Oryza sativa Japonica Group: one gene and its partner. Each later gene encodes a partner of the first gene's protein in a complex. Links are inferred from orthologs where the notes say so. Each region holds a gene or a part of one and is shown in the gene's direction. Other genes may lie near its edges.

What was found.
Region 2: mediator of RNA polymerase II transcription subunit 17 (region 1) and mediator of RNA polymerase II transcription subunit 32 share a complex: the UniProt entries of both Arabidopsis thaliana proteins name them as parts of the mediator complex. The link is inferred for Oryza sativa Japonica Group from reciprocal best matches to the Arabidopsis thaliana genes AT5G20170 and MED32.

What each region holds. Positions count from the first base shown.
Region 1 is NC_089046.1:28,095,944-28,100,089, forward strand, and holds the start of mediator of RNA polymerase II transcription subunit 17, read left to right. Parts: upstream 1-1,282; 5' UTR 1,283-1,488; coding exon 1,489-1,577; intron 1,578-1,664; coding exon 1,665-1,863; intron 1,864-1,959; coding exon 1,960-2,073; intron 2,074-2,236; coding exon 2,237-2,322; intron 2,323-2,408; coding exon 2,409-2,787; intron 2,788-2,985; coding exon 2,986-3,447; intron 3,448-3,523; coding exon 3,524-3,844; intron 3,845-4,146. UniProt on the Arabidopsis thaliana protein: Component of the Mediator complex, a coactivator involved in the regulated transcription of nearly all RNA polymerase II-dependent genes.
Region 2 is NC_089044.1:22,150,955-22,153,557, forward strand, and holds mediator of RNA polymerase II transcription subunit 32, read left to right. Parts: upstream 1-1,309; 5' UTR 1,310-1,399; coding exon 1,400-1,882; 3' UTR 1,883-2,035; downstream 2,036-2,603. Other genes in the region: U-box domain-containing protein 70-like, read right to left, coding at 158-320. UniProt on the Arabidopsis thaliana protein: Component of the Mediator complex, a coactivator involved in the regulated transcription of nearly all RNA polymerase II-dependent genes.

The sequences.
Region 1 (4,146 bases):
GGGGTAATAATATACAAAGCTGTTGGGGTTGACATCACATGGCACTGGGCCACTGGTAGTAGTAGAATTTACCATGCAAAAAACTGGCATAGGCATGATGATTGCATATGTTGATCTGGGAGGAGTGGATGTGATACAATGACAGTGATATCCAATAAAATGTAAGCTGTGTATCGCTAATGATTTTTCTAAAGAGATGCTGGTATTGATTAGTAGCAATACAATAACACAGCAGCTCAGTAGTTGTGAACAACAGGCCTGTGAAGTGTGAAATTGATGCTTATTTTAGTCTTTCTGAGTATGTCATAAATCAATGAAGCAAGGGAATGGAGAAGAAATGGAGTATATATGGTTATAGCGCTGCATCTGTTGATACTATTATCAAGGCAAATCTATATGCTACCTTTGAAAAAGAGAAAACAAACAAATCGCCAAATTTGTTGTATTTGGCGCATTTCTCTCAAACTTATGGTGTTACGGTGTTACCTGCAAGAATTATGATACGAATTGTTTGCGGTGCTTTTCTTTTTCATGAATAGGGGTCGGAGTTTTATTCTCCGAACCCCCTTGGTCGTCCAGGTTTTGCCAACTCGATCCGGTGGACAGTGGTTTGTCCTCATTGTTTCTTCAGGTTGTGATTGATTGCTGTGAGTTTTGAGCGGATGGTGGCATTGATTGTAAGCTAGTATGACAATCTCATCTGCAACTTGTTTCTGTGATTGGCAATGCTCTGGCACATCGATCCGCGCAAGTAGAAATTCAGTCACTCACTGTATAGTTGGTTTGCAGAGAGATTATCTGAATTTACTTGCTTGCTCAACTTCAAAAGGCCTGGAATTCAGAAGCTGGACTGAAGAATCGACATACTACTACTTATTTTGTGAAATATCCGTCGTCCCTGATACGTTGCAGATTGATCACAACTTGCGGTTGAGTTTGGAATATCATTGCCACCGGCACCAAAGAGAGTTTTGTTCCCTGAAACTTGTGATCCATGGACGAACAACAGAAGAACAGGCCTTGTTGTCTTGTAGGCATTGATAAGAAAAAGCTCTCTGATATAAGCCTTCGTTTTACCATTGCTAGGAGATAATTCCTGCTCCCGAGGGGCCTTGAGAAATGGAAAATAAAAAAAGAAACTCCGGCCCATTCGGAGTAGTGGAAGTCTGGAACTGGTCCAGGCCAGCCCAGCAACATTTACTTGTTAGGCCGGCCCAAAGTCAAAAAAGGCCCATCATACTCTCTTCCAGAGAAGAAACTCCAAAGTCCAGCACCCAAACTCGATCGAGAATTCGCTCCTCCTCACTCCGCCGCCCGACGACCTCGCCGGCGGCCGCCCCCACCCCGCCGGCCGCCGCTTCTGCTTCCCGCGGGGGGATCCCTTCCGCTCTTGAGCGGGACTCGTGAGCCCCAAGGCAGTGCCTCCTTCACTCAAAAAATTGTCTCCGATCTAATTAAGCCCTCCGCCGCCGCTGCCTCGCCTTCGCCATGGAGGAAGCCGTGCGGGTGGACCTCGACAAGCTCCCCATCAAGCGCCTCCACGCCATCGACGAGGCCGGCAACGAGCACTACCCGCCGTAAGCACCAAACCAAACCAACCTCTTCCCTTCCCCTGAAACCCTAACCCCCACCTCTCTCCGTTCACTGAGATTCGGATTCCGCAGCGACACCAGCAGCGAGGAGCAGCGCCTCTCCGCCATCCGCCGCATCGACTTCTCCTGGGTCATCGACAAGGACGCCAAGAAGCCCAAGAAGGACACCGCCCAGCAGCAGCAGCAGCAGGCATGGCCGTGGCAGGGCATGATGGAGAGCCTGCAGCAGGCGCAGCAGGAGCTCTCCGTCGTCATTGACCTCATCTCCACTGTCAGTTTTCCCACACACAATACTGCAAACCCCATTCTATTTGCATGCGATTGTTTGTATTCCTGACAGAGGAGACAATCCTACTTGATAATGCAGGTCGAAGCCAATGATGCAGTGGCAGTCGCTGGGATGCTCAAGCCCAAATCGCTGCCAACCGAAACCTTAGTTGACACCGCAGTCTCTGCAGCCACCAAGCTTCAGCGCGTTCGGGTATGTCACCCTACTGCCTATGTTTGATTACTTCAATTCACGGCTAAGGAACAAAATGGAACCTAAAACAAACTCAATTTGTTTCTGTAATCGCTTGCCACTTTCCTCTTCCGTCTTGCATCTATCATGCTTCCTGTTGTGATCTTCATTTGTGTCCTCGCAGCATTTGTCACGCTACTTCAAACAATCTGCCAAAACAATGGAGCAGCAGTTCCAAAAAGAGTCTAGGTTCTATGGCTCATTAATCAGGCATGTCTTGTTGCTTAACTTGAGTTGTTATTTCAATACCACTTCACCCAAGTTTGCACCATGAATTACTCGCGGATTGGTGGCAGATTGCAGCAGAACTGGAAAGTGAAGCGGCAACGGTTTGGTGGAAGTGGTCCAGGAAGTGAGGGCTTCATGTTTGATCTGATCGACACTTCTCAATTGGACACAGCAGCAATGCCTCGACTGTCATCATTACCATTGATTCCAATTGACCAAGACTCATCAGGCACTTTGTCCGTACAAGTCCCTCAAAAATCTTGCCGTTTCTTGAGTCTTAATTTTCGAGGGGACAGTGCCAATGGTGTGGAAAACTACGGTCATAAACTGAAAGATGGCATCTCAAGCATCACTTCCTCTGAAACAGACAATGATGATGTCAATAAATCCATCAAACATGCACATTCTATTCTTCGCAACATCCACAAGTCAATATTTGAGGAGCAGGTCAGCTAAGTGTTTGCTTGGCATGCTAAGAATTCCTGTATAGAATGCTCTTAATTAAGTTTTAACTATAGCATCATGGAAAATTATTGTATATCATGTGATGACATCTTGCACCACCACCACCCCTCCCTCCCCGGGTTTATCATTATTTATTTATGTATATCGTTCTGTGGCTTAGCTTAGTGTATGCCTTTGTAGGTATTTGATATGGTGATCCGTGAGACATTTGTCCAATCTCAAGGCATCAATGTGACTGGAATGCGTGAAGATTTTCTCCAATTAGCTATTGGTCAGGAATGTTCATTGTGCCTCTCGCTTGCTCATTCTGGAGATGGTAGTGACTCAGAAATGGTAGACCATGAAGACCATGCCAATTCAGAGGATGCCTCAAATCTTGTGTTGGTCACTATGAATGGGAAGCTGGACCCTTTAAGAAAAGACGTGACAGGGTTTCCTAATCCCAGAAGTCTGGAAATTTACTTGCTACAATTGTTTCATGAGAACATTCTTAGGAAGGTCAGGGAGAAATCCCTTAACATTGGTCGCTACCAAAGTCCTGCTCAGGTTGCAGGTGATGATTATGGCCTGCTAGGTCATTTCTGCTTGACAGTGGCTCACAGGATATTTTCTAACAAAGTACTCGTGGAGCTTGAGAGTGTGGTATAGCTCCTATAAGCTTGTTGATGCTACATATTTGCATGTAGATCATTATTTAAATTTCCTTTCTGTATTGCAGGTCAGCAGGGTTCCATATCTCCATTTGCGTTCTCTTCCTACTTGGCATTCTCGAACTTCCTCCTGGTCTCTATGCTTGAAAGTTCCTCAGCCTATCCTTGCTGCAGATCGGATTGCAAAGCCTTCTGATAACCATGAACTTAAGTACAAATCCAGGTCACAGTTCAATACTAAGGTGATCGTGAAAGATAGCCAAATTAGTCTAATGGGTGAAGGCTCCCCAAGCATTGCTGGATCATTGACTGGGAAGCCCTCCGATGGATATTTGGTAAATAGCTACAATTGTGACTTGGAGGACCTCCCAACAATGCTTCTGCAGCAGGTAAACTTCTGATGATACTATTTAAATTATTTCTTGGTAGATCATGTTTATGAAATTATTAAAGTTATTACCATTGGAATTCATTATGGTCCATTGATAATGCAATGAGCCAGACTATTTCTTGCATTGCAAATGTGTAACATAAACTCCTTGCATTTGAATGTGAAATGCACAATGGTAATGCATTTTTCTTAGTTTTTTTCCCTGAGGAAATCTTCATTTGTGCCTATTGACCTACAGGATTAGTTTGCTTAACAGTTCAAAATGAATGTGGCATGCATGTTGAGTTGAACAGGACACCA
Region 2 (2,603 bases), on another chromosome or scaffold:
AAGAAGTAATGGTTAGAGGAAATAAACCAGAATATGGCAGAAAGCCAGAAGCTAAAGATTATGGTACAAACATCATAAGATAGCTATATGACTATATCACCTCCTTTATTGACATCGAGAAAAATAACTTTAGATAAAGCCACTGCACATAACTAACCAAAGTTCGATGTAGTAATTATGTGGATGATGATGATCTCCGTGCTACTGGATGCATGATCGATAACCCAAGACAGTATGGACTTGCCATCGGTGGGTTGCTCAGGGAGAGCAACATAAACCTTGTCTCTAAACAGAGTTTTCTGCCTGAGCATCATACTCATGCATGCAACTGGTAAGGCCTTGAAGATGGAACTAAGAGATACTTCTATCTACCAGTTTGCGTTTCCCACTTTGGACAACTAAAAGAGGGAACACACTGCGTATTAGCATTAAAGAATAAGATTCCAGTTTAACCAGGTAAAAAGGTTGACTCTTGACTGAGACTATCGGAAGACAACGCAACACTCAACTACCAAGTCGCAGTGAATGGATTATCTGAGGAAAGTCATTTGGTACGCTGTCATGCCATGCCAGTACAACACGGCAAAATTTGCTGGGAACAGGGACATGTTATGAATTAATGTAAGACTCTACCTTTCTCACATCCTTCACCCCCATTGCTCACCACAAATTCCCTGCCTTTCATTTCTAATAAAAAAAAGATGTAGTGCATCGATTGTGTGCCAGTGATAGAGCCATCAGTCTATCTGGTGATCTAATCTAAAGATCTCGGCCTCATATTTCAGTTACTCCATATGAACGGGAGAAACAACCTACGGGTAGTGACGATTCAGCAATAATAGCATATGAAATTTGAGGCGAACAAAATTGACAACAAGCAAACATCTCATCATCACCAGTACTGCATATGAAATTAAATCATCGTGGTACAGTCAAATCACCTTTGACGATTGACTAGAAATGGCGAACACCGAATAAATACATCGCGGCGGCGGCGGAATCGCGCAGGGAGACGGCAACATCGGCGCGCGGCGAGGCGGGAGTTGGGGGAAGCCGTCGCCGGCTCACAGGATCCCACCGGGGTCGCCCGCCTCGCCGTCGGCGAGGGGGAAGCCACCGCCGCTCCGGCGAGCGGCGAGGCCCATATTTATCCCTCGAGAAAAACCCTCGCCTCGCGTCCCAGCCCAAGTTTTAACGTGCGGCCCAGTAAGAAGATACAGCACGAGACGGCCCATTTTAAAGTGGGCCGCGAATCTGCGGCCCACGAGGAATTTTTTTTTTTTTGACGCTACTGGTTTGGGAGTTTGACACTGTGACGAGTAGAGGTCAAGTTGGTGGGGAATCTAGGCGGCGGAGGCGGTGGAGCGTGTCGGGGAGAAGCCGCCGGCGGCGAGGGGAGATGGAGGCGACGGTGGACGAGCTGAGCGAGGCGTACCAGGAGTTCGTGGCGGCGGCGGCGGCGGTGGTGGAGGCGCGGGGGCAGTCGGGGGGAGAGAAGAACGCGGCCACGGACGCGGCGCTCGAGGCGTTCAAGCAGCGGTGGGAGCTCTTCCGCGTCGCCTGCGACCACGCGGAGGAGCTCGTCGAGTCGATCCGCCAGCGAATCGGTTCCGAGTGCCTCGTCGACGAGGCCACCGGCGCCTCCTCCTCCTCCTCCGCGGCGCTGGCCGCCCCCGGCATCAAGCCCATCAGCGCCGTCCGCCTCGAGCAGATGAGCAAGGCCGTCCGCTGGCTCGTCATCGAGCTCCAGCACGGCGCCGGAGGTGCCTCCGCCGCGGGTCCCGGCGGCGGGGGCGGCGCCGCGGCTGCGGCTTCCGGCGTTGCGGGGCAGCACGGCCACGGCGGGGTCGACACGCGCTTCCCCGAGGACGGCGCCCAGTAGGTATTTATTTTGCTCAATTATCTTGTACTAGTAGTATTTTCTTCCAAAGAAAACAAATTACTGGTGGTATCTCTGTGTAATCGTCTAAGAATTGAAGCATTAGAGCTTGTGATCGATATTCTAAAAAAAATTGAGCTTGTGATTTTCTCAGCATTGTTACTTTATGCCTACTGATGTTAAAATTTGGGAGAAATTAACCGTTTTCTTAGTGTCGTGGCCAGATCACGCTTAGTAACTGATTTAATTTTGTCCTATTGCTTTTGTTAAGTGACTAATTGTGTAACGGACTTCCTTCCAGTAGGTTTTAGTTCTGATTTGTAGCTCGCTCACATAATGTTCGTGCATCGTACTAAGGTAAGGTAGTAAACCTGAGGTCCCAGGAAAAAATGAACAATTTCATATATACTACTCAACTAGCATATAACTGTATAAGTTCCTTCAACTTTCAAGTACCTACTCTGGATGTTTTGCTAATCTTGCGTCCGCCACAATGTGAATGCTTTTCCTTCTGATTTTTTAATGAACAACATTTTATTGAAGAATAACTAAGCAGCCACAAAAGGCACAATTTGTGATAATAAACTCTGGGAGATTGCTCATGGTTTGTGAAACCCAGTTATACTGGAAAGTGATATTGGTTATTAGCTACTAGTTTCCTCATATAATTCTCTATCGTACATTTTTGCGCCTTTAGAATTAGCTGCCAATTTTGGCCAAACAA